Canis lupus familiaris: one gene and its partners. The protein of the gene in region 6 purifies or fractionates together with the protein of the main gene of each other region. This does not show direct contact. Links are inferred from orthologs where the notes say so. Each region holds a gene or a part of one and is shown on either strand. Other genes may lie near its edges.

What was found.
Region 1: the proteins of KEAP1 (region 6) and OTUD1 purify together in Homo sapiens (affinity purification with western blotting; 3 studies listed by BioGRID, with this or other methods). This does not show direct contact. The link is inferred for Canis lupus familiaris from reciprocal best matches to the Homo sapiens genes KEAP1 and OTUD1.
Region 2: the proteins of KEAP1 (region 6) and SLK purify together in Homo sapiens (affinity purification with western blotting; 3 studies listed by BioGRID and IntAct, with this or other methods). This does not show direct contact. The link is inferred for Canis lupus familiaris from reciprocal best matches to the Homo sapiens genes KEAP1 and SLK.
Region 3: the proteins of KEAP1 (region 6) and NIBAN2 purify together in Homo sapiens (affinity purification with mass spectrometry; 3 studies listed by BioGRID and IntAct, with this or other methods). This does not show direct contact. The link is inferred for Canis lupus familiaris from reciprocal best matches to the Homo sapiens genes KEAP1 and NIBAN2.
Region 4: the proteins of KEAP1 (region 6) and MCMBP purify together in Homo sapiens (affinity purification with mass spectrometry; 3 studies listed by BioGRID and IntAct, with this or other methods). This does not show direct contact. The link is inferred for Canis lupus familiaris from reciprocal best matches to the Homo sapiens genes KEAP1 and MCMBP.
Region 5: the proteins of KEAP1 (region 6) and TSC22D4 purify together in Homo sapiens (affinity purification with mass spectrometry; 4 studies listed by BioGRID and IntAct, counting the BioPlex papers as one, with this or other methods). This does not show direct contact. The link is inferred for Canis lupus familiaris from reciprocal best matches to the Homo sapiens genes KEAP1 and TSC22D4.
Region 7: the proteins of KEAP1 (region 6) and PGAM5 purify together in Homo sapiens (affinity purification with western blotting; 6 studies listed by BioGRID and IntAct, with this or other methods). This does not show direct contact. The link is inferred for Canis lupus familiaris from reciprocal best matches to the Homo sapiens genes KEAP1 and PGAM5.

The regions. Positions count from the first base shown.
Region 1 is NC_049223.1:7,654,088-7,658,186, forward strand, and holds the start of OTUD1 (OTU domain-containing protein 1), read right to left. Parts: upstream 2,801-4,099; 5' UTR 2,560-2,800; coding exon 1,069-2,559; 3' UTR 995-1,068; intron 1-994. UniProt on the Homo sapiens protein: Deubiquitinating enzyme that specifically hydrolyzes 'Lys-63'-linked polyubiquitin to monoubiquitin.
Region 2 is NC_049249.1:16,533,864-16,537,363, reverse strand, and holds part of SLK (STE20-like serine/threonine-protein kinase), read right to left. Parts: intron 2,987-3,500; coding exon 2,873-2,986; intron 1-2,872. UniProt on the Homo sapiens protein: Mediates apoptosis and actin stress fiber dissolution.
Region 3 is NC_049230.1:55,934,577-55,938,076, reverse strand, and holds part of NIBAN2 (protein Niban 2), read right to left. Parts: intron 3,181-3,500; coding exon 3,076-3,180; intron 2,991-3,075; coding exon 2,828-2,990; intron 1,701-2,827; coding exon 1,513-1,700; intron 668-1,512; coding exon 512-667; intron 42-511; coding exon 1-41. UniProt on the Homo sapiens protein: May play a role in apoptosis suppression. May promote melanoma cell invasion in vitro.
Region 4 is NC_049249.1:30,250,686-30,254,185, reverse strand, and holds part of MCMBP (mini-chromosome maintenance complex-binding protein), read left to right. Parts: intron 1-351; coding exon 352-517; intron 518-1,793; coding exon 1,794-1,927; intron 1,928-2,884; coding exon 2,885-3,049; intron 3,050-3,500. UniProt on the Homo sapiens protein: Associated component of the MCM complex that acts as a regulator of DNA replication.
Region 5 is NC_049227.1:9,141,326-9,145,620, reverse strand, and holds the start of TSC22D4 (TSC22 domain family protein 4), read right to left. Parts: upstream 2,801-4,295; 5' UTR 2,440-2,800; intron 1,999-2,439; 5' UTR 1,720-1,998; coding exon 958-1,719; intron 1-957.
Region 6 is NC_049241.1:51,048,502-51,052,690, forward strand, and holds the start of KEAP1 (kelch-like ECH-associated protein 1), read left to right. Parts: upstream 1-1,389; 5' UTR 1,390-1,567; intron 1,568-1,806; exon of another isoform or gene 1,807-1,963; intron 1,964-3,543; 5' UTR 3,544-3,590; coding exon 3,591-4,189. UniProt on the Homo sapiens protein: Substrate-specific adapter of a BCR (BTB-CUL3-RBX1) E3 ubiquitin ligase complex that regulates the response to oxidative stress by targeting NFE2L2/NRF2 for ubiquitination.
Region 7 is NC_049247.1:426,355-429,101, forward strand, and holds part of PGAM5 (serine/threonine-protein phosphatase PGAM5, mitochondrial), read right to left. Parts: intron 1,548-2,747; coding exon 1,422-1,547; intron 1,344-1,421; coding exon 1,255-1,343; intron 1,175-1,254; coding exon of another isoform or gene 1,155-1,174; coding exon 1,021-1,154; intron 1-1,020. UniProt on the Homo sapiens protein: Mitochondrial serine/threonine phosphatase that dephosphorylates various substrates and thus plays a role in different biological processes including cellular senescence or mitophagy. Modulates cellular senescence by regulating mitochondrial dynamics.

The DNA of each region.
Region 1 (4,099 bases), on a different chromosome or scaffold from region 6:
GGTTGAGAACATTGTTTGACCCAGCAAACCATACAAGATCTGTTTACAGACATTTTTATTTGTACATAATACAGGGCAATCCTATTTTGCCTTTTGAGAGAATTTAAAAGGAATAAAATATTAAGACACTATTCTCCTGCTATAAAACAACTGCCAAAGTTGATTCAAGGCATTTAATGCTAGTAGTTTTTTAAAATCTCTTAGTTGAATCCAAGAAGCTATATAAAGCAGGAGGCTTATCTTGTCACAAAGTTAAAATGCTCTTATAACAAAATGACAAATATAAATAAGAACAATTCAGAGCACCAATCTACTCTAAACACCAACCAAAGTACAGAATAGTCATCACTCTGCCATCTGCAAATATCAGACTTCCATTCAAGTAAGAAGACCTGGTACTATTCCCCCTTACAGAAAACTCCTCCCTCCCTTAAATATTTCTCTTTTAAAGGCTGACCATTTCTAGAAAAATAATGATTTCCAAAACAACCAATCTGTTTTTCATTAAAATGGAATGGGTCAATCATCTGGTAACACAAATGCATTAATATCCACTTGAAATAATGATCTAAGAATCATAAAATTCAAATCGAACAACATAAAGTAACTACTGAATCACAAACTCTGTTCAAAGTAATAAACTTCATATAAAGCACTTTCTCTGGATTGATGCCGGAAAGCTGTCTGTCAAAACGGAACACGTCATAGATGAAGGTACACCCATTCTTAAAAACGTTGTGCAAAAATACATTTTTATAGAAAACAGATTACCAGGAATGAACAAATTTACACCGTGAGAAACTAGCTTGCAAATTATAAGTAGCGCCAACTTTATACAGCAAATTATAAATAAGCAGTAGGATCACCCCAAGCCATCATGAAACATTATTTAGGTGCCCAGCAACCTTCAGCTCTGAGGAGAAAAACATTCAAAAAAATGATTAAGGCATTACACCTACAGTAAATCTACTAGGAAGTTTAAAAGTGCTATTACCCTGATTAGAGTTCGTAATTCTCCCAACACAAACTATGTATGCAATTCTCCCAGGGTGTAGGTTTTCAGACACTTCAAGAGCATGCATTTTGTTCGATATACATTTTGGATAGGGATATGGCCATGGACTTGGCAAGTTCTTCGTCGCGTTTCCGTTGCACTTGAGTCTGTCTGCACCAATTGTCATACTCGGGGTTAGGATAGGAGTGATCAAACACGGCATCATAATGTCCATTACTGAGCCAACTGAGCCAAATGCTAGGCCGTAGGGAATCCTCTGGGCCCAAGTAGTGAATCATGGTGGACACCGTGGGGCTCTCCAACCTCCCTCCAGTCGTTAGATGTATGTTCACATTCAGCATCTGCCCCATGGCCAGCAGTTCCGGGTACCCGGCCCACGCCCCGTCCTGAGCAGCAGCGATGATGAACTCCCCCACGTCGCCCTCAATCAGGGGGCTAAAGTGGTCGAGGTGGTCGGCGATGTAATGCACCGTCTGTTCCCTCAGCTCCCGGTGCAGGCTCTGGTCTCCGTACACCGTCTTGCTGACCGCTCGGTAGAGGCAGTTGCCGTCGGGAATGATGTGGAACCGGTACTTACTCCTCTGCCGCAGGTACTTGTCCTGCCTCTCCACCTCCGCCAGGTACAGGGCCAGCTTCTCGTCCCTGGGATCCGACCTGGAGACCACCACCGCCTCCGCCGCGCCGCCCGGGGCCGCCTCGCAGCTCCGCGCCGGGGCCGCCGGGGCCGCCTGGGCCTCCGGGTCGGGCCGCCGCGCCTCGTCCGCGCCGGCAGGGTCGCTGCGCTCGCCCGCCCTCTCCCAGCCCCGGAGGCTCCTGTCCGCCGGGTGCTCGTCGCCCCACGGGCCGGGGCCGGGGCCGGGGCCGGGGCCGGGCTCCGGGCTTCCCGGGGGCGGCGCGGGGCCTCGGTGCTTGGCGGCGGCCAGGGCCTGGCGGTGCTCGCTCAGTCGGAAGTTTCTGTCGGGACCCTCCCGGGCCGCGTCGAGGCCCGCGGGCTCGGGGCAGTCGGGCCTCAGCAGCTCCTCCAGCAGCCAGGCCGAGGAGCCGCGGCGCGGCGGGAGCGGGGCGCCGGGCGCCGGGGCCAGCAGGAGGCAGCGGCCGCGCGGGGCGGCGGGCGCCGGGGCGCCGGGCTCGGGCCCGTGCAGCAGCAGCCGGTCGGCGCCCAGGGCCCGCACGGTGATCTGCGCCGTGGACGTGTAGTGCGGCGGCAACGGCGGCTTGCACGACCCGGCGGGCGGGCCGGCGGCGGCCGAGGCGGGGGCGGCGGCCCCGGGCACCACCTCGAAGCAGGAGGAGAAGGCGGGCATCTTGGCGGCGGGGGCGGCGGCGGCGGCGGCGGCGGCTTCTCGGGGCTCGGCGGCCGCGGCAGGCTGGCACTCACCGGTCTCGGGCTCCGGCTCGCCGCTGGCGGCTCCGGGAGGCTGGAGGGAGACCTTGAAGGGGGCGGCGGCGGCGGCGGCGGCGGCGGCGGGGGCGGCGGAGGCTGCGGCCGTGGGACCCGGTGCCCCGGCTGGGTAGTGGGTGCAGACGCTGCTGTAGAGCTGCATGTCCCTGCCCGCTGCTCGGGCCCCTTATAGGCGCGGCGAGCCGGGCTGAGGGGGACACACCCTCCGGGCCCGGCGGAGGGGGCCGGCCGGGCGCGCTGACCCGGCGCCCCTAGAATAGAAATGACCCAAGGGCCGCCGGCCGCCGGCGCGTCAGGAGCCGCAAATAGCGCCCGGGTCCCCGCCAAATTCCTGCTGCGCCACAACGCGCGGTGGGGGCGGGGAGGGGACGCGCGCTCGACCCGGGCCGGCGCGCTCTTCCCGCACACCCGGGGCGCCGCGCCCGCTGCCGCTGCTCCGGCCGCGGCGGCCGCTGGGGACTTTCGGGGAAAGCCGCCCGCCCCGCTGGAGCGCGTCCCGCCGGCGAGGAGCAGTGCAGGGCGCGCGGAGGGGCCGGGAGGCGGGGCCGCGGTTGTTTACCTCAGGCCGCGCGGCCGCGTCACGTGGGCCCGTTGGAATGTGCGGCTCGTTGCGGCGCCCCATTCAGCCGCGCGGGCTCGCCCCGCCCCCCGGCCCGCGCCCCGCCCCCCGGCCCGTTCGGCGGACGTCACGGGCGGGGCCCGCGGCGCAGGGGGCGGGGCCCGCGGCGCAGGGGGCGGGGCCCGCGGCGCAGGGGGCGGGGCCCGCGGCGCAGGGGGCGGGGCGGGAGGGGCCGCCGGACGCTCCCTGCTCCTCAGCGGCGGGTCCTGGCGCCGCGCCGCGCTCCTGCTCCTGCGGCGGCTGCCGCGGCGGATCGTGGCGGGGTGGGCGCTGCGTGGGGAAGCTGCGCCGCCTAGACCCCGTGCGGTTCGAAGGCAGCTTCCGGGACGGAGCGTAGCCTTGTAACCCCCTGCAGGGCCAGGGCACCGCTGCCGTCCTTTTGATTTCAGTTCTTTGGGTCACAGTGTTAAAACACCGTGACGCCCCGCGTCCACCCGCGATTGCTGCCTTGCCCAACCGAAAGCAACTTTTCTGCACCCCTCGCCCCTGTCAACGGGCAAACACACGACTTGGGCGATGGGAAGCCCTTCCAACAGCCTTTGGAAGATCAGGTGCAGCCGCCCACCGCCCACCGTAGGTCAGTCGTGATGCCTGCCGAGGCCGAGCAGAATATTGGAAAGAGTTGTGCTCACCGGTGCTAGTCGTATCCTCTCTGTAAAGGGAAGCCAAAGTGTTCGATTTGATCAACCGAGTGTTGGTTATACTAGCGGGCAGGTGTGCTGTGTTCTGAGCTTCCATCACCTGCAAGTAACAGGCCCTAAGCGTTCATACTGAACGTGGAAGCTCTCTCACCTTTTTTAAGAAATGGGGAAATAGGGACGCCTGGGTGGGGGTCAGTGATTGAGCATCTGCGTTGGACTCAGGTCGTGATCCCAGGGGCCCTGGGATCAAGCCCCCCCCCCCCCCCCCCCCCCCCGCCTCCCCGCATCAGACTTCTCTCTCTGCCTAGGTCTCTGCTTCTCTGTCTGTGTCTCTCATGAATAAATAAATAAGTAAAATCTTAAAAAAAAAAAAAAAAGGAAATGGGGAAATAGCTGTGGACTGTGGCGCATGCTTCCACCCA
Region 2 (3,500 bases), on a different chromosome or scaffold from region 6:
AGCATATATATAGTAAGTGCTTGATAAATACCTGAGATATCAAAGGTTTTGTGGACAAGAGATTCAGGGATAAGTGCTGCTGCAGAGGCACAAAGCTTAGCAGAAGATGGAAAGATATAGGAAGGTTTCTCAGAAGAGGTGAAACATGAGCTCAGTCTTGAAGTTAAGATAAGAATTTGATAGACAGGATGTAGAAGGCATGCCAGACAGAGGGTGCTAAAGCAATGCACACAGGCAGGAAACCATGAACTTAGTATGAGTAATGGCGATTATACCCTATACTGGAATATGAACAGGGAACAAAGTGGTCTATGGGAGATGATACTAGAAAGTTTGACTGTGGCCAACGTACATATAGCACTATGATGGCCATAACGTCAAAGTGAGACATTGCTATTTTATTCTGATAGAATTAAAAATTTATCATCACCACAAGCCAGTATCAGAGATATTCTTAAATATAAATACTCCAGTGAATGGCAGACAGCACAGGAAGAAAGGAAAAGGAATTTGAGATCAGAAGGCCCATTAAGGACATTACTGAACATTTTTAAGCAGTAGAATGATAGTAATGTGAAAGAGAATTATTATAAAAAGAGTTAAAATTATTTGTCATCTCACTGACATGAGATGTGATGGAAATACAAGACAATTCAGGTTGCTAGATTGTATGTCAACTAGGAGGACAGGGATGTTGAGAAGCACACTGATGATGGGAGGGACCGCATGGGGTGGGGGCAGTGAGGTGGGGAGGGAAAAACAAAGGGCAGTGGTGACATGGATGAACCTGCTGAGTTCAGTCTGATCTCCACCGAGCTTACAATCTTTAGTCAACATTCAAAAGGTATGTACTAATCATTACAATATACCAGGAACTGTTCTAGAAGATGAAATATACCAGTAAACCACGAGGTAACTAACGCTCCTGCTTTCAAGGAGCATGCATTCTTGTGAGAGAAGATGGATAATAAACGAATGAGTCTGGTGCTGAAGAATGTTATAAAGGAAGACAAAGATGAGGGGACAGGGAATGTCTGAAGTGGGCATGGAGGCTATTTTATATAGTCACCAGAAAAAGAAACCTTTGGTGAGATGATATTGGAAAAGAGGCCTGAATGAAATAAGAAGGAATGGACCATCCAGGTGGAAAATGTGTGCTTAGAGCATGAACCAATAATAACAAACAATATACAATAGCAACAGCAACCATTCATCAAACCCTGACTACAGCTCAGGTATTAGGAAGCGCCATACACACACATCACTCCTTCTAACTGTCTTAACAACCCAAATTAGGTAGGTAGTGTCATCTTTGTTTTATAAATGAGTAAAACTGGGCTTAGGAATGTGAAGTGACAAAATTAAATGTTAGCACTGAGATCTGTAGGACTTCAGAATTTGTGCTCTATACAACCCCTACTATACAAGTTCTGTGACCGTCCTTAAATATGCAGCAGATAAGCCATGACAAGATACAGGATCATCAAGGCTGTAAACTTGTGAGATATCTACATTCCAGGTGACTGGAAGACAAAAAGTGATAAAGAGCACAGAGAAAGAAGAGAGGTCATAAAAGTCAGATGAGAAGACAATTTTAAGAAACAAGATTTCTAATGACAACAGATAATAGCATAGGCTGTTAGCAACTCACTTATGACCACTGGGGAGTATGAGATGAAAACTAGATTGCAAAGAGTTAAAGAAACTGGAAAAAGGCTCTTCTGTACCTTTTGAATTCCAATCCACATGAATGTATTATCTATCCAAAAATTTAACAAGAAATAAAATTTAAATTAAAAAGCCACACTAACAACTGACTTGTTATTTCACTTCTTCCAGAAACATTTAGCACACAGTAGCTGCCAAATACAGATTTTCTTGACTGACTAACTGGATAATGAAGAAAGAACAGTTGAAAGGTACAGCAGGAAGGAAGGCCAAGAAAAATAAAGGTTTAAGTTTGAGAGCTAGCAAAGGGAGACAATCACAAAGCTATAGAAAAAAAAAATGAGCTGCAATTGTTGACCAATTGGACCAGGCCAGCAGGAAATCAAAAAGGAAGGAGGTATAAAAAAGACTGATAGCTGGATGGGGAGAGGAGACCTTGCCTATTTTACTTGATTGTGAATTTACTATCATACTGGGGCCTTATAATCTGGCTTCAGTCAACTTGTCCAGGCTAAGCTGTCACCACTTCCTTCCTTCTCTCCCTCCTTAATGCCTACACACAGGCACACTCCTTCAGTGCCCCAATGACAAGGAGCTATTTACAATTTTTATACACATCATTTTCATCCATTCTCTTCTCTGTATTTACATTGCCAATCACACCCCAACCTGTCTGAATGCCTAGCAAGCTCTTACTCATCCTGAAGTCTCACTTGCTTATAAGGCATCTCCTCTGTAAAGCCTCCTTAACTTCCCAGGCAGACTGAAGCAGTCCTTGGCCTTGGTCTTAACACTGTCTCCTGTTCTTACCTCCTTCAAAGCAATGATCCTATTGAACTGTAATTGCTTGTTACTACATTCTGAACCTTTGGGGAACAGATTTTGTCTCTATCTCTGTATCTCCTGTCTCTGACACTGTATCTGACACACATTAGATAAACAGCCAATAACTGAGTGGATAAATGGATGAACACAAACATATTTTATCTAAAGCTTTTAAAATTACCTTTTTCCAGGGACGCCTGGGTGGCTCAATGGTTTGGCGCCTGCCTTCAGCCCAGGGTGTGATCCCGGAGTCCCGGGATCGAGTCCCACATCGGGCTCCCTGCATGAAGCCTGCTTCTGCCTTTGCCTGTGTCTCTGCCTCTCTCTCTCTCTGTGTGTTTCTCATGAATAAATAAATAAAATCTTTAAAAAAAATTACCTTTTTCCTAGGTCTCAATTTCTCTCTCCATTCCTTTAATTCTTGGCTGTGTTCCTCATCTAACTCCTTCAGTTTCTGAGTCTCATGCTCAACCAACAGGTGACATTTTTCATTCTGAAAATAAAGTTTGAATTAAAAAATTTCAGATTAACTAAGCAATTTTTCACAAATGTAATTATCTTCCAAAATAATAAAGTATTCATTAAACATCAAACTATTATTGAGGTTCCAGACTCTCCTCTGAAAACCAAGAAGGGCTAAAAACTATGAAATGAGTCATAGCTTCATTTCTGCAAGTTTAAAAGCTTAGATCTGTTACTTACCATATGAAAAGAACTTAAATAGAATTAGTTTGATACTGTTTTTCCTTTCTAAGAAAGTTTGCTCATAAAACTGATACTTCTAAGTGCACCTTATATGGATTTTACCCACTGGTACCAGAATGTGGGATTAGGACTATCCCACTCTAGGGACACCTGGGTGGCTCAGGGGTTGAGAGATTGCCTTCGGCCCAGGGCGTGATCCCAGGGTCCTGGGATTGAGTCCCACATCGAGCTCCCTGCATGGAGCCTGCTTCTTCCTCTGCCTATGTCTCTGCCTCTCTTTCTCTCTGTGTCTCTCATGAGTA
Region 3 (3,500 bases), on a different chromosome or scaffold from region 6:
TATAGAAGGCTCTCAAAGGTGTACACGGCGTTGTCCATTTGCTGCAGGGCACACCGTGGGGTACATGAGGGCCCAGGAGTGACCACAACCTCTGCCCACATGCCTCTGAGGTCTGCATGGGGGTAAGGGAGGCTGTGCACTCGTGTTCACCCACACCTTTACTGAATGTCTGTGCGTGGGCACTGTGTGGGGCATCCAGTCCCTGCCTCAAGGAAACAGAGGTCCTGGGCCCTGCATGAAGGGGCCTGGGAAACATGGAGGGCTTCCTGGAGAAAGGGGTCTCTAGGATGAAACCTGAAAAAAGGAGTCCAGGCTAGCCAGAGGCACAGGTGTGCCAGCAGATGGGGAGCACCCAAGAGGCCAGAGCAGGAGTGAGCACTCCAGGGGCAGAGCGCGGCTGCTGTGTGGCACCAGAGGAGGTAGGGCCAGGGCCTACGGTCGTGGACGGAAGGGCCTCTCCCCAGGAGAGCGGGCCTGTGGAAAGTGGGCGGCCGTGGGTGCTGGGGCCCACCTCTCGCATGTGGATCTGGGCTCGCTGCTTGAACACGGATGTGCTGGACACGTCGAAACGCTGCTGCAGCCCATCGAGCCGCAGTGGCTCCATCTTCTCATAGCAGCTCTGCATCTTGAGGGGGTGGTACGCCAGCTGGGACAGCTTCTCCATGTACTGCAGGGAAGCGGAGACGCAGGGACCTGAGCAGGGCCCCCCAGAGTAGAGGCAGTCCCTGCAGCCCCACAGCTCACTTGGGCCCCGGGAGTCCCCTAGACGTGGGTCTGGCCACCTGCAGGTGCCACCTGCAGGCTAAGCTGTGGGGGCCCAGAGGGATGAGGATATGAAGGCTGGAGCCAGGGGACAGGTTCTCCTGGGTGACCTTGGGCAAGTCACTCACCCTCTCTGAACCTCATATTCCTCAGCCTCAAAATCGGGAGATACTGTCTCATGATCTCTGAGGTCCTATATGGTTCTCAAATGCTGTGATTTTTATTGTCTATGGACCCCTCAGTTCCAGTGTGGAAGAGGAGGGCAAAGATTACAGGATCAGTTCTGTCTGCACCCCACAGCCATGTAGGGCTTCAGACACTGAGGACCCCAACATGGGGTCTGTGGAAGGAAGGTTGTGCCCCTGAGAACCAGACCACTGAGGAGAGGCATGGGCCATCTCCATGGAGGGGGAGGGGGAGCAGCATGACATGGCACTTCAGTAATTGTACTTCCTTCCATCCCTCCTTCCCTTCTTCCTCCTCTCCCTCCTCCTCTCCTCCTTCCTTCCCCCTCCCCCCTCCTTCCTTCCCTCTTCCTCTTTCCTTCCTCTCCCTCCTCTGTTAAGTCCTCTGATACTTCAGTAACCTGCCTAGTAGAGGGGATCACCAATCCCTTTTCCTCTGCTGCCTCCAGTGCCTCATGCCCTCAGGCCCTTAGTCTCCAGCAGACCCTCTAGGGACAGGTGATGCCCTGAGTCACAGCGAGGGCCCTGCAGGGGCTCCATCCCTGGGCCAGGGGCCTGGCCTCACCTCACCCAGCTTGTCGGCACCGCCCTCGTTGATGATGTTCAGGTTCATGTCGGTCACCTCTTTGAAGAAGACGTCCCGCACCTCGGTGAAGCCCTGGCTGGTGGGCACCATCAGAGCCTCCAGGATGGACGGGATGTAGGGCTGGACGTGGTTCCGGACGCACACCTCTGCCTTGGGGAGGATGAAGGCTGCACCCAGGGGCAGCCGGGTGAGTGCACGGACCAGAGCCCCCAGGCACACTATTACACTATCGCTATACGGAAAACCACTCGCGGGATCCCTGGGTGGCGCAGCGGTTTGGCGCCTGCCTTTGGCCCAGGGCGCGATCCTGGAGACCCGGGATCGAATCCCACGTCGGGCTCCCAGTGCATGGAGCCTGCTTCTCCCTCTGCCTGTGTCTCTGCCTCTCTCTCTCTCTCTCTCTCTCTCTCTCTGTGACTATCATAAAAAAAAAAAAAAAAGAAAAAAAAAGAAAACCACTCGCGACACCAGCCAACAGAAGGATTCATAGGTCCATGCATCAAAAAGAACAAGGGATTCTGAGATTGGCCCCTGATATTTCTAAAACTCTGATGGCAAACTAAGAAAAAGCACTTAGTCCAAAGGTGTCAGCGTTCTGCTTCACTCAGGGTGGAAAGAACCCGTCTCTAGGAGTCTCGCTGCTATTTGTTGTTTAATGCAACAAAACACGCTTTGGTAGATTTGGTGAGTCTCAGGGTTCAGCACACACCGAGCCGGCCCCTGCTCTGGACCCGCGTGCCTGGCTTCACGCAGCCATGAACGAGGCCTCTTGCCCGTGGGGGTGTTTTGGGGTCCCTCCCTCTCCTCTGCCTAGCTAAAGTTGGCTGTCTGATAAGATACTGTCAGCTCTCCATGTTCTACGCAGCTCACAATGAACGCGGTGAGAAGAGAAGGGGCCTCAGGCACTCACCCTCCCAGAAGCTACCTGCGGCCACGGCGCAGGGAGGGCCGAGGGCACAGGGCCGAGAACAGGAAGACACACACACTGACCCCAAAGAGTGAGACGTGACCAGAGGGAATCACGCGATGAAATCGATGCCTGCAAACCCAGTCAAGCCCAAGACTGACCAAAACTGAGCAAGAGGCTCGAACTGCCATGACAAGATTGACACCCTCAAGGTTGGGGTTCACGGAAATAGCCACAAAACTACCAGGGCTTGGGAGAACCAATGGCTCAGATTTGCTTTCACTTTTAAAAATGACCAATGAATGGAGTCACCAGTGTGAAAAGTATGCAGGTCGGCACAGAAGGGAGGCAAGCCCTGGCTCCTGAAGCCCCAGGTGACCTGCCTACCTCGGATCTTGCTGGCCAGGTGCTCCTTGGAGGTGATGATCTGGTCCATGTCTGTGCGGATGGTCGCCTCCATGGCTGGCCGGGCCAGCTGCAGCTTGGCCAGCACGGCCTCAAAGCGTGCCTTGGCCTGCTCGTACACCATGCGGTACACGGCGTCCGAGATCTGTGGGCAGTGCTGCGGTGTCAGAATCCGAGCGAGGGCTCCAGGCAGCCATAGGACCCCCAGCCCTGTGCCCGCACCCACCCACCTGGATCCACTGCCTCTGTCGCTCCTGTGGCTTGCCCTTCAGCCGTGGGGCGAGCTCTGCCTTCAGCTCAGGACCCAGCTCCTCCATCACCAGGTTGCTCAGGATCTAGGACCGGGAGGCATAGCCAGGGCAGGGTTAGAGCGTAGCCAGCTGGCAGATTCCTCTTTGCATTCCACTCAAGGCCCACCTCCTGTAGGCCTGGCCTGGCTCCATGTCTCCGCTGCCCCACCTTACCTGCTCAAGGGACCTACAGGATCCTCAGAATCAAGGATCTCCCCCCTCACCCACCCCAGGGGCTTTGCACATGCTGCCTCCCTGTCCAGAACACCACACCCTCTCCCCCCTCACTTGCACATAGAAGTACGTGTGTTTATTTGCCAAACGTCTGTTTCTCCTGCTGGATAGAGAGTAAGGGCCAAGGCCGC
Region 4 (3,500 bases), on a different chromosome or scaffold from region 6:
GTAAAAGAAGTTGAGCTTCTGAATGTTTGGTAAATGTATCTGAATTATCTATTGTTTGTTTCTCGTTTCCTGGTAAAATCGAAATTATTTTTTTAAGAATACCGAACAAAACAGTTGAGAGTAAAGCAGCTCACAGAATTAGTGAAGTTCTTATTTAAGTTGTAGATTTATTATTTAAGGTGGATATGTAAGATTTTTTCTCTAGGAGCTCAAGAAACCATGAAACTATAGCCTTAGAAATTAATATAAGATCTTTCCTTACACACATATGGAAAGTATTTAACCCCATATATGTACTTCCTTAAAACAGGAAACTTTGTTCCTTGCTCATTAAAAAATTTCTTTTCGCAGTCTTTTCGTCTGCAGATGACTATAGAGAACATGAACCATTTGAAATTCATCCCCCACAAAGACTATACAGCCAATCGCCTGGTCAGTGGGCTCCTCCAGCTACCGAACAACACTTCCCTTGTGATTGATGAAACTCTCCTAGAACAAGGGCAGCTGGACACACCAGGTATGGACTTGAGTGTGTCTCTTCATTCCTAATCTCCCATGAAAGCCAGATCTGGTATTGACTTTTAAAAGGATCACCAATCAGGGATCCCTGGGTGGCGCAGTGGTTTGGCGCCTACCTTTGGCCCAGGGCGCGATCCTGGAGACCCGGGATCAAATCCCATGTCGGGCTCCCGGTGCATGGGGCCTGCTTCTCCCTCTGCCTGTGTCTCTGCTTCTCTCTCTCACTGTGTGCCTATCATAAATTAAAAAAATAAAGTTTGTTTTTTTTTTTTAAATAAAAGGATCACCAATCAGAGACAAACTTCTATTTCACAAGCATTTTGGATCAAGGCTTGCCATATGAATTAGTGTAATGTGGATATTATAGACTTAGAAATTGTGTACATTGGCTGTGTTTTGTCCTAGTATGAAAATAGTACGATGACAGGACAAGGATGTAGCAAGGAGCTCTTTAAGGCTAAGAAAGGAGGAGATTATGCCTTCAGTCATATATTAGCTAAAAAGAAAAGTGTAGGGGCACTTGAGTGGCTCAGTGGTGAGCATCTGCCTCCGGCTCAGGGCATGATCCTGGGGTCCTGGGATGGAGTCCCATATAGGGCTCCCTGCATGGAGCCTGCTTCTCCCTCTGCCTGTGTCTCTGCCTCTCTCTCTCTCTTTCTCTCTATCTCTATCTCTCTCATGAACAAATAAAATCTTTAAAAAAAAGAAAGAAAAGTGTAGAGAAGATTTAATAAAACATTAACTGCCCAATATGAAGTTTTTTATTTTTTTATTTCAAAGAATCTCTTAAAAAAATATTTAGTAGAAGACTACACTTTATTGGGGGGTAAGTTCAAGAAGTAAAGGTAGAAGGAAAAAAATAGTGTGGACTGGGTATACTTAATAAGGCACAGATGAGTATAAAAATCCGTAAAACTCAATAATCTTATCTCTATGCGTAAAAATCATTTTAGTTCAATCATACTGTGCTAGACCTGTACACGTCACATAGAAAGTGATTGTACTTACTGGGAACCTATCTTGTACCTAGTTGTATACCAGATGCTAGATTAGATTTTAGGAGGTCCTGGCCCCAAAATACATTTGTTTAGCTTGACCAGTATTGTCCGAAGCCTATTACTTAGTAAACATTTAGCTTAGGAGGTCGAACAGTGCTTGAGATAACTTTTTAAAGCAGTAGAAACTTCATGTCTTACGATCAGTGTCAATAAAACCAAATTGTTTAGGTGATTAAAATCAAATGACTAAAAAATCACTATTTTTTTATTTTTCAGGTGTTCATAATGTGACTGCCCTGAGCAACCTAATAACTTGGCAGAAGGTGGATTATGACTTCAGTTACCACCAGATGGAATTCCCCTGCAATATTAATGTTTTTATTACTTCAGAGGGGAGATCACTCCTGCCGGTACGAGGAGACATGTTAAGATGGAGGGAGGTTACGTTGGAAAGATACCTGTATTCTTTTGTTTCTTGGTATGGCTTATTATTGAGGAGTTAAACTTGTTTCAGAATTGGGGCTGTTGATTATCAGTAAGAGAATTGATTATTTTGTTCCCGCTGTGGGAATGAAAACCTGTGAAGAACCAGATACGGCGAATCCCAAGAAGAGCAGAGGAAAGCTGTCGGTAGCAGCAGCTCCCACACCCAGGCAGAGAAAGTAGAAGCTTTCTGTAAATTGCCTGATTCACATCTAGACCTTTGTTCTTGCTGCCTCCGTCCTATTGTCTCTGCCAATCTTACGTGAGGAATAGTTCAGAATTCCTTTTAAGACATTTAAAAATGTTCCTGATGACATGGTAATTATTTTTATGCTTTATGGTGAAATGCTCTGATAAATCATCAGAGTGACTGATGCAGGGAGCTTTTAATTGTGTCTTTTCATGATGAGAAGTACGCCCCGTTGTCTAAAAGGTGTAGAGTTTCTCTGTAAACTGATGTTCACTGTGATTCATGAGAAACTGCCCGTGAACGAGAATGAAATGGCCCCCGGGTAAGTTTTCTCTGGGAAAGTGTGATTTGCTTTACGTGGTTTCTAGACAGAGAGATCAGTAAGACGTACACATATTCCAGGATTAAGAAAGCCTTGAAAACATTTTAATTAGCTGGTTTTTAGAGGTTGGTTACCTTTTTGTGTGTTTACTGCTCTTCCTGCGGAAATGTAAGTAACCAAAGAAACGCTCACCTCTGTAATTGTCGCCGAGGGAGTCACGGTGCTTATAAACGAATGTTAGAAAGTGTCCCCCCTCCGGTAATAAAAAGTATTTCTCGATTGCTACGCGGGCTGATACAGATGAAGCCTCCTCCCGAAATTTTGGATTAATTTCGGAACGTGGGAAACCCCGCGTCCCGTTGGTCTCCGTAGGCAGACTGCCAGATCCACCTGGAGCCCCAGCTCATCCCGCCCAACATGGAGGAGTACACCGACAGCCTCCTGTCCGCCGTGCTCCCCTCTGTCCTCAACAAGTTCCGCATCTACCTGACCCTCCTGAGGTTCCTGGACTACAGCATTTCCGATGAGATAACCAAGGTGTGTCTGGGGTGAAACCAACGATTTCCCGTGTTGAGTTAGACGGTTTGGTCACGTTCCACTTACCGCGACTGGCGCCGAGCTCGTGTCCTACGTGGGCGGCGCTCCTCCGCGCGGTTACAGTCCTGCTTTGCGCTCCTGTCTTTAAATCGGAGGGAAAAAGTTAGGAGGAGAAAGACCTTTGTACCGCTTGGGTATTTCCCTGTGTGGTTCCCTTCCCCGTGGTCCTTCCGTGCTTCCTGTCGGGCACATCGGCTGTGACAAGTTCTGCCGAGTGGTTGCCCATCTGGGAATGTCTGAATTTCTCCGTTTTTGAAGACTAGCTGTACTGGACGTGGAGTTCTTGCTTTATAGACTTTTTCTTTCAGCGCTTTTCACGTGTGTCCTCCCGTTGCCTTCTGGCGTGGGGGTTTCTGGTGAGGGGTGCGCTCGCGGCTGAGGCGAGGCCCCT
Region 5 (4,295 bases), on a different chromosome or scaffold from region 6:
TGGTTTGTGCCCAAGGCCAGGAAGGGGGAAAAGTTCTCATCCTCACACTCCCTGCCCTCGCTCCTGAAGTCCAAGGTGTTATTTTCTCCTTCAGGACAGACACATCCATCCCCCACATCCCTGGCGGCCCACCCTCACCCCAGGGACCCAGGCATCCTGCCCCCCAGCCCAGACTTGTTCCTCTTTTGGAGACAGGAAGCAGAAAGACCAGAGGATTTAACTCTTTCTCCACTGCTTCCTGCCTCTCTCCCACTCCCTGGTGGCCACCCCCAGTTATCAATCATGGAGAGGCCTAGATGCAGGGGAGCGGAGACAGGGGCCTGAGGGCAGAAAGGACACACCGCCAAGCCCTCCATCCCACCTAGTTCATCACGTCCTTGGAGAAATTTGACTTGGGACAAAGCTGCAGATGGGGCTGGGATGAGTGGCTAATAAGAAGACAGACCGTCACCTTTGGAATGGTGCGTGGTGCGGCCAGGGAGACTTTCTTTTTACCCCTCCCCACCAACCTGGACAGCTCCTCTCCCAGAGGCCCAAGCACCTACCCCCATCTGGGACCTCCATCCCCCATGCCTGAAGCCAGAAGGGGTGAAACCAAGACAGAAGGTGAGGGCCAAAGTGTGAAGCCGACATCTCTGTGATGGCGAGACAGCACTAAGCTATAAGGAAACAGAGATGGAGGCCAAAGGTAACAAAGGCTTAGAGAAAGAAAGAAGGTGCAGGATATAGGGGAAGAGGGAGCCTGAGAAAGAAAACAAGGCTGCATGAAGAGGAGGATGGACTACTTCCCAGGAAGAGGGCAAGAAGAGAAAAGAGGGACAGACACGTGTTGTTGGAATGGGGAGAGGGTGGTAAGGAGGTGGAGGCAGGGAGGCCCAAGCTGGAGGTTAGGCCCAGGCCCAGATGAACAAGCACCACCCCTCAGGTGTCTCCCTGACCCCAGAACCCAGCTCTTACCTGCCCCATCTCCTCTGGAGCAACCAACTCCATCCTCAGCCGCAGGGCTCCATCCTTTGATCGGGATAGTGGAGGGGTCCCTGTTGCTGAGCCCCCAGCCTCCACTTCCACCCTCAGGGAGGGCAGGGGCGTGGCAGCCCGGGAGGGGCCGGCGCTATCCCCTGTCCTGGGCTCTGGGGGACGCTGCTGGGGTGGGGAGGCTGACAGAGGGGGTGTCTCCACCTTGGCTTTACCAGGTACTGCCAGCTGGCCCAGCCCCCGGGTTAAGGAGCGGGCCTGAGGTCCAGGGGAGGTAGGGGGCGGCCGGAGCCAGGAGGTGGGGCCCTGAGACAGGCCTGGCTGCGGGGTTGGGGCACCCAGGCCCAAGCTGGCCAGCTCCAACCTGGAATCCAAAGATCGGCCCCCAGTGCCCCCCGAGGCCCCTCGAACTCCTTCCAGGAGCCGGCTGAAGCCAGGGGTCTCCAGGTCTCTCTCGTAAACATCCACACACGTCCAACGGCCTCGACGATAAGGCTCTCCCAGGCCATGGGGCAGCTTTACCACCCGGAAACGGGAGGCGGGGGCCCCAGGTGGTGGGGAGCCGTTCCGGGGGGTGCTTTTGCCCCCTGGCTCGGGGCTGGGCTCCCCGTTAGGCAGACGGGGTGGGGGCGCGGTGGGGCCCGGCAGGGCAGGGGGCTCTGAAGACCCTGGGCTCCCTGGGCCCTCATAGTCCGTGGTGACGCTGGTGATTTGAAAACTACTCTTCTTCTTGCCCCCACTCATGGTCCCTGGGGCTCAGGACTCGGCCAAGGTGGGCAGGGGGTGCAGCTGGGGCTCCTCCAGGGGCTCAGGCACCCCTGGAACAGGGGGGCCACATGGCGGGGGCATCAGGGCCCCTGGGGACATCTGGGTCCGACATGGCAGGAGGGCTTTGCAGGAACTGGGGGTACTTGGCTGGTAAAGGGAGCACAGGGCAGGGGAGGTGGCAGGAGGTGGGGGCAGGGGCAGGGGCAGGTTTTTCCTGCCCCTGGCGCTGCCCAACTCCAGAGCTGAGTTTGCAAACTGGAAAGAGAGAGAGAGAGAGAGAGAGTGTGTGTGTGTGTGTGTGTGTGTGAGAAAGCAGTGGGCAGGCCACCTCTGGGGCTTCCTCTCTGGGGAGCAGGATGGGGGAGGAAGGGGAAACCACCAGAGACCCAGAGACAAAGAGACTGGCAGAGACGATTGAGACCAGGAGATCCCAGCGGTCCCACAGAGTAGGAAGGGGCGGCCCAGACCAAAGTTGGGCATTTCTTGCCTGGGATTCAGACTCACAGGACCGAGTCGCCCGACAGCAGGAGGGGGCTCCAGGGCCTTGGACGAGCAGGGGTGAAGCAGCTCCTCGGTCGGCCCCGCCGCCGGGAGGCCTCTGCCGAGTGTCCAGGCTGCCCGCACCCCAGCTCCCCGATCCCGGGCAGGCCCTGCCCCGCTGCCCCAGCGCCCCGCCCAGCCAGCCCAGAGCCCTACCTCTCGGCCTCGGCCACCGAGCTGGGCCGGGGGTCCCGGAGCCTACGATGTCGGGCTGTCCTTCCCGCGGGGGGCGCGGCGGCGATCAGGGGCTGTCCGCTTCTCTTCGGGGGCCGCACTTCGCCCCGCAAGGCATCTTCGTAAAAAGTTTGCTCGCCAGAAAAGAAGGGACCCCCGCCTCCTTGGTGGAGCCCAGGCGCGGCCTCCGAAGCCCCAAGGGTCCCGGGACTGGTGAGGGAAGAGGCGGCTCTGCCCCCACCCCGATCCTCCAGGTGGAGCCGCCTAGGTGGCTGGGGCGAGCAGGTCTCTCAAATCTCCTCCGCGTGGAACCGCTGGGTCTCTCTCCGCTCCTCGGCTCTTCTCTCCGGTCTCTCTGCCTTTCTCTTTCTGGGCTGTTGACAACCCCCACACCAGGAAGTCCTGCCTCCTCGGGCCTGCTGACTGCTCCTCTCCTCCTCCTCCTTCCCCTCTTCCTCCCCTTCCTCCGCCCTCTCTGCCTCCTGGGGCTCCCGGCCAGCTGGCCCGGGGCCAGGCCTGCCACCACCTCTGCTGCCACTGCTGCTGCTGTTCCTGCCCCCCCCCCCCGCCCCCCCCGCAACAGGCTTAACCCCACACCTGCTGGGCCCCAATCCTGCGTTTCCTCGGAGGGAGGGGCCGTGGAGGGCAGAGAGAAAAGGGGAGGAGTTTGCCGGGGGGCCAGGGATTCCCTTACTTGTAGGCACTTGCTGCCATTGGCCTACGGAGAGAGCAAGAACTTGCCAACCAGGGGCTCTGCTGGGTGCCCGCCACCCCATAAGCTGCTGCTCAGCTCTTGCCATATCTTCACTGGTGTTCACAGTAACTCTATGAGGAAGGTTCCGTTATTCTTTCCTGTCTTTATTTTAAAACGTGGATTATGATGACAATTTGCAAATGGGCCCCCAAGTAGAGAAAAATGATAAACTCCCAAGTCCCCATCGTGCAGTTTCAACAATGATCAGCTCACAACCAACCTGGGTTCTTCTATACTCCCAATACCTCTTGTTGTGCTGTGCTGGAGTATTTTTAAAAATCCCAGGCACCATATTATCCCTCTTCTTAGATGTGGATATTGAGACCCGGAAGGTTCCGAGAGGCTGTCAGTGGTACAGCTGGAACATTCTACACACTCAGGTGTGCCCTTGTCTGGCCCCTATATAAAGAAACAAAGAGATGTACTCAGAAATGTGCTGACTTGCACTTTCTCTCCAACCCTGGTCACACACACATGTATACATAATGTACACACAGATGCACCTGAGGACAAGCCCTACCCGCCCACCTCTCCCATCCCATCCCTTCTTTGCTATTGGAGAAGCCACACACACACACACACACACACACACACACGAAGGCCTTACCGAATTACCCAATGCCTGGAATGAAAAAATAACCCTCTGATGGCCACTTTCTCTTTTATGGCACCCTCAACCAACAATCTGAGCAAGAGCAGGGTTGAAAAGCCACATCTGCCTTCACTCCTAGCTTTGGAAGGAATTGGATTCTAATTAATTTTGGTCAGATGGAAGTATTCTTGAGCATATTGAAAATTTCTCATATTTGCCTGCTTTATATAGTTATTTCATGGACTATAAACAGTCGGGGGCAGAGATGGGGTAGGTTTTGAGCTTCAGCGTTTCCGCGGGAGGAAACAGAGGCTCCCAGGTAGTCAGTTATTTGCCCGAGGCCCCAGAGCTAGTATTTGATGGCATTGAGACTAGGACTGGGCTGACACATCCCTCCCTCTTCAGCTTTCGCTCATGGAAATTTTTAACCATTCTTCAGGGTTAGGGAAAAACAAAATGATGCCTCCTGCCTGGATGTTTATATATTTATTC
Region 6 (4,189 bases):
CACAATTCTAAGATCATGACCTGAACCGAAATCAAAGTCAAAGCTTAACCAACTGAACCACCTAGGTGGGCACCCCATCCTTTGTTTCTTAAATTCCACATATGAGTGAAATCATATGGTATTCATCTTTCTCTGACTGGCTTATTTTGCTTAGCATTATACTCTCTAGCTCCATTCATGTTTTTGCAAATGGCAAGATTTCATTCTTTTTTATGAATAATATAAATATATACATCTTCTTTATTTGTTCATCTATGGATAGACACTTAGGCTGCTTCCATAGTTTGGCTTAGATGGGCTCTTGTTAAAATAAATACATTTAAAAATTAACTTTATATCATAATCAGCATGAATGGCAAATCAGTATCCCTTGCAGTGAAAAATAACAATTAGGGCAGCCCTGGTGGCTCAGCGGTTTAGCGCCGCCTTCAGCCCAGGGTGTGATCCTGGAGACCCAGGATCCAGTCCCACATCAGGCTTCCTGCATGGAGCCTGCTTCTCCCTCCTCCTGTGTCTCTGCCTCTCTCTCTCTCTCTCTCTCTCTCTGTCTCTCATGAATAAATAATAAATAAAATCTTAAAAGAAAAATAACAATTGTTCATATCCACTGGGCACTAGCATTCCCATTTCACCCTTATGATCACCTTGCAGGTAGGTTTTACAGGGAGGAAATTGAAGCGTGAACAGGTTGAGGTAGGGACCTATCCCTTCGGAGCTGGACAGTGGCGGAGCCGGGCTTCAAACCCCTGCAGGCGAACTTCACACACCTCTAGACCGGAAGTAACTAAAAAATAAAGATAAGGAGGGGCGCCTGGGTGGCTCAGTTGGTTAAGCCTCTGCCTTCAGCCGGTCAGAATCCTGGAGTCCTGGGATCCAGCCCCGCATAGGGCTGCCCGCTCAGCGGGAAGCCTGCTTCTCTGTCTCCTTCTGCCCCTTCCCACTCGTGCGGGAGCTTGCTCTCTCACTGTCTCTCAAATAAATAAAATCTAAAAAATAAAAATAAAAACAAAGAAAAGCCAACTAGGTAAATAAATCTAGCCGGATCCTTCACCACTGGACCCAGAGCTGCGTGGGGTTAAAGGGAAAAGAGAGGGTCGGGGAGAGCAGCCACACGCTGAGATGCTGAGATCCGGGGGATGGAAGGGGCCAGCGCAAGTGGGGACGGACCCCCTCCCCCCCCGCCGCCGCCCTGCTCCCTCGCCGTCGCCCGCTCCGCGCCCAGGGGCGCCGGGCACCTGCGGGAAGGGCGGGGAATCGCGGCTCCCTCCCCGCCGCGCCTCTCCGCCCTCTCCCCGCCTCCTTCCCCGCCGACCCGAAGTCGCCCCCCCACCCGACGTCCAAGACCCCGCAGGCTTTGACGCCCCAGAGCCAAGGTCCCCCCAACGGCGGCCGCGGGCGCCCCATAGCGAAAGTTAGGTGGGAGCCGCCCCCGGCCGGGCCGCGGAGGGTTGCTCTGGGGGTTTCCGGGAAGCTCTGCGCACGGGGGCACCCCTGTGCCCGGAGCCACTGCGGTGCCCCGGGCATCCCCGCCCCGCGGCCGGAGCTACGAGGCTGCGCGGGGGCCGAGGTGAGCGCGCGGCCGGGGGGGCTGCCCATCCACCTCCAGTGCAGGCAGGGAGGCGCCGGGCCTCGAACCCGGGCTGAGGTTCCCGGCGGCTCCGACCACGCGGCCGGGCGCGCCGCAGTGACGGGCCCGAGTGGTCGCCCCGCCGGGGCTGCGCAGCTCCGAGACCCGCGGCGGCGGGGGGGGGCGGGGCGGGGCGGGGCGGGGGGCGCGGCGCATCCGTCAGCCCCGCCGCCGCCGGAGGCCCGGGCCGCGGGGACTCTTATTCTGACACGGCCGGCGCCCGGCTCTGCTTAGTCATGGTGACCTGCGCGCGCTCCGCGCCTCCCCCCGGCGCGCAGCGATGGAGGCGCCCGGGCCTGGGCGACGGAGGCGGAGCTCGAGCGCGGCCATGGCGGGGTGAGTGAGGCGGCCTGCGCCCGGGCTGTGGGTACGGCGGGCCGGGACGGCCCCGGGGGTCGGGGGACGGGGCGCCGCGGGCCCGGGCGCCTTGGGGTTCCCGCGGCCCCGCGGGGGGCCAGGAGGGCGAGGCCCGAGTCCTGGCCTTTTGTTGGACGGCGCGACTCGAGGGCTGGCCCGGGGGCTACGCAAGCCGGCGAGAGGCCCAGGCAGCGCCCCGCGACCGAGGGCCCCGGAGCCCGGCGCGCCGGGGAGCTGGGAGCGCGCCTCGGGGCTGCCAGCGGAAAGGCCGCGGCAGGGTCACTTCCTCCCTTCTCCGGGCCTCGCTGGCGGCTCGGGCAGGGCATGCGCAGTCCCCCCACCGCTCGGTGGGGAAGAGCCCGGTGTCCAAGGGGCACCGTCGGCCGCCTGGCCGGAGACCAAGAGGCTGGGCACGGGCCTCGGGCGGGGAGAGGCGGCGAGCGGCCCTGGGCCCGGTGGAGGAGGGTGCTCCGGCAGGCAGTGAGGCGGGCAGCCGGCCAGCCAGCCACCGCGTCCTGACCCCTGAGCAGTGCCAGGCCCCAGGCAGGACGTTGGGGAGGCACATGCTAGGGTGGGCGCGACCCTGACCGACCCGGGGCTCCCTGCCTCCCGAAGCGCGGGGCTGAGAGGCGGAGGCGCCCGCCCGCCCTCAACAAGCCAGCGGCCGAGCTCATCGCCGTTTCCGACAAGTGCGGTGGTAGAAGTAAGACAGGGAGGAGAGGACTGCGCTGGGTCCGGGAAAGATAAAGGGAGAACCCGGGGAGCCTCTTGCAGATGCCCCTCTTCTCCCGACAGGACCTTTCAAAACAGCTCGTGCCCTGGCCCTCCAGCCTCCTCAGGGTTCACGGAAACCTTCCCTTTAGCAGGATTTCTTGTTACACTCCTCCCTGATGCTCCAGCTGGTCTCTCTCGCTCTGCCTCCGAGCCTTTGCACTTGCTATTCCCTCTGCCTGGAAAACCCCTTCCGTGTGTGCATCCTTCTTGTCTCCGCTCTAACAGAGCCCCCGACTACCCGATTTAAAGTAACTGCCCCAGGCCACACTGTCGCAGTGCTGTGGTCCTTTTCTTCATAACCCCCCGTTCCTACTCAGGTCTTGTTTGTTTTACTTATGGCCCATCCCTCGCCAAGTGTCCTCCAGGGGGGCACAGTTTATGTCTGCCTGTCTCCACTGGGATGTCTCCGGTTCCTGGTACACAGTAAATAATCAGTAAATGTTGGTGAGGCCAATGAAAGAATGAGCTAGATGTGCTCTGTCTAGGAAGGGAAGAGGTGGACAGAGGCGGACTGTGTAGGGCTTTAGTAGGACACTGAAGAGTTTGGTTTCACTCATTGTGCTGTAGGGAATTGTGGGAGGATTCGGCACAAGGGAAAGACATCATCTCACCTGTGTTTTAAATTGGACTCTTGGGCTGGTGAAGCCATGTGGCGCTGAGTGAGCACAGACGGACATTGCTTCACCTGGGCTTGGGAAGGAAAACTGGTCTAGGAGTCGTTTTATCGTAAAAGAGGAGGCCTGCCCCCAGGCCCTGCCCCCAGCCCTGTGCTCTCCCTCCTCCAGGCCTCTGAGTGCCAGTGGTGGTGTTGTCCCTTGTCACCTGGAACCCCATGCAGCCGGAACCTGGGCCTAGCGGGGCTGGGGCCCGCACTCGATTCCTTCCCCTGAGGTCACAGCGCCCCGAGGGGGCAGGGGACACGGTGATGTACGCCTCCACCGAGTGCAAAGCCGAGGTGACGCCCTCCCAGCACGGCAACCGCACCTTCAGCTACACGCTGGAGGACCACACCAAGCAGGCCTTCGGCATCATGAACGAGCTGCGGCTCAGCCAGCAGCTGTGTGACGTCACGCTGCAGGTCAAATACGAGGACGCGCCAGCTGCCCAGTTCATGGCTCACAAGGTGGTGCTGGCCTCATCCAGCCCCGTCTTCAAGGCCATGTTCACCAATGGGCTACGGGAGCAGGGCATGGAGGTGGTGTCCATTGAGGGCATCCACCCCAAGGTCATGGAGCGCCTAATTGAGTTTGCCTACACGGCCTCCATCTCCATGGGTGAGAAGTGCGTGCTCCACGTGATGAATGGCGCCGTCATGTACCAGATCGACAGCGTCGTCCGTGCCTGCAGTGACTTCCTCGTGCAGCAGCTGGACCCCAGCAATGCCATTGGCATTGCCAACTTCGCTGAACAGATCGGCTGCGCTGAGCTGCA
Region 7 (2,747 bases), on a different chromosome or scaffold from region 6:
TCACCAGAGGCCGTGCATGGGACATTGGAGGGGAAATGACCCCGTTCCTGCCAGCCCTGGTGAAAGGTCCAAGGATCAAGCATGGTGAGCAAGGACCCTGGGCCTACATTTGGATAGTCCTGTGGGCCAGCCGGTGGGCTGTGTCCTGTCCTGCCCTGTCAGACTCATCACAAGAGGAGATCCCTCAGCTGTTAAAATGCCCAATGCACACTTTCTAATGGGTCCAGGGGGTGTCTGGGATTCCAGTTACTTCAAATTTTTCACTAAGTGAACTTTGGTTAAATACATAAGCACCCAGCTGGCCTAACTACCTCCAAGGGCCTTTGGTACATGGCTGCTACTCAGGGCAGGCATCACTCATGAGGGCTCTGGAACCTCCGTTAGTGCCAGGAAGTGAGGCAGGTCCAGAGGACACAGAAGCCTCCTGGGGGCCCAACAGCCAATGCTGGGGCAGCCAGTGCTGGGGCAGCCAGAGCAGTGAAGGGACGAACATGGTGATGGGTTCTAATCCACAGTGCTAAATACAGATCTATGAGTCTATAATCCTACAAATAAACAGAGTAAGAGTGAGGTCTTACAGAAGGATTTCAAATAACAAATGACAGACAGAAATGCAAAACCACCATTAGGTGAGCACCACCACTGTATCTGTTGTGGCAGGAACTCCCAATGGGCTAAAGTCAGTCGGTATAAATCAGAGGGACAGAAGATTTGCACTGTCTCCCAAGACGCTTACAAATCACTGAGGGGGAAAAACCGACTGTACGGTGTGAAGTCCAGCGCACAGTGCCTGAACCAAGTGACCGTGTTAGCATCACCCAGAATGTGCCACTGACTTCTCGGGCACCCCGACCTACCCTGGACAAGTGGATCACATTTGTGCTATTCCCGCCATAAATACACGATCATGGAAAAACTCCAAACTGACATTCTCCCAGAAGGCTAAGGTCTCCAGGGAAGAGGCACTGGCACAGGCTGGCAGGAAGGATGGTGGGCCAGGGAACCTATGTCACCCCTCACCGGCACACGATGTAGCGGATGACATTGGCATGGCAGATGAAGATCTCGTAACTGTCTTCCTGCTGCTTGACATCTGCCCGATGGATGTAGTTCCGGAAGGCGGCCTCAATCCGGGCTCCATCTTCATAATACTGCTGGGGGCAGAGCAAGGAATCTTAAGGATGGCCACGGCATGCAGGCCGCAGGGCATGCAGGCTGCAGGTCGGGGGGGCTCGGGGGGAGTGGGGCTTTTACCACAGCCTCTGGCTTCCAGTGGGACACAGGCGGGTCGGGCTCAATGGGGGCGCCTTCCCTCAGCAGGTCTGTGCTGACCTTGCAGACACCTGTAAGAGAAGCCGCAGCTAGGTGCTGCCCCTTCAGGACTAGCCACCCAGTGTGCCCTGGAGATGCGGGGCACTCACCTGGCAGGTGCTTGCTGATGATGTCACTGGTTTCTATGGCTCGGGTCATAGACGAATGGACAATTTTATTAAACTTCAACCCCAAGCTTGCAAGTCGGAGCCCAGTTAGTTCAGCCTGTTCACGACCTTGAAGGTGAAAAACACCAGAGAATTATAGGTTGCTGGAGTTCCTCTTTTGTTTACTTCAGAAATACTCCAGTCCTTTACCAAGTGCCCTTACGGCTGGGGAACAAGACGGGCAGACCCTCCTGGGGTTTGGCCCTAACTAGGGGCCAAGCATTTGACAGGTGGAAACAATGAGATAATGCAGTTACCTTTAGCTCCATACAGAAGGAATGTTAATGACCAAGGTTGAGGATCCCTGAGATCTGGGATCCTGTTCCTATCTTTGTGTCCTTTATGCCACTTTTAATTTTGTCCAAACATGGAGTTGCAACGTGCCATGGATCGACCAGTTGTGCATTATCACAGATGTCAACACGTAAAGACCAAATGGCCTCAGCATTCACTAAGTACAGTCTGTGTACAAATACAAATCTTTTTTCTCAAATATATATTTTAGGGATGCCTGGGTGGTTCAGTGGGATAAGTGTCTCCCTTGGACTCATGATTTTGGAGTCCTGAGATTGAGTCCCAAGTCAAGCTCCCTGCGTAGCAGGGAGTCTGCTTCTCCCTCTCCCTCTTCCCCTCCTCCCGCTTGTGCTCTGTCTTGCTCAATCTCTCAAATAAAATTAAAAAAAAAAAATATATATATATATATATATATATATTTTAGAATCTAGATGAAAATGCTCTCAGAAGGTCAGTTTCAAGTGCATGTAGCACTGAATGTGCACAGATGGCTAATATCCTATCCAACAAAGACATCTTTAAAAATGTAAACCTTATCTCAGACCACCCTGTACTTCCTCTCCTAGGAATTTCTTCTACAGATATGCTTGCACATGGGCACAAAGACCACGGTGGAAGGGCATGCCCCGCAGTGCTGCTCACGATGGCAAGAAACTGCAATAAGTAGCACTCCTGCCAGGGAGATGGTTAGAGCTATCACTCAATCCTGTCTGTTTACCATTATGAAGCAAACTTTAAACAGATCTGCAAGTGCTGAATAGAAGGATCTTCAGCAACAGGTTAAGTCAAGCAGAACAGGGTGCATGGGCTATGCCACTTACAGAGCATCAGGGAGTATAGAACACCTCTGCTGTGCTTTGGGTCTGATCACCTGTGAGATCCACCATACATTTTTTAAAGTTGAGGAATTTTTTTTTTCAAGGATTTTATTTATTTATTCATGAGAGACACAGAGAAGCAGAGACACAGGCAGAG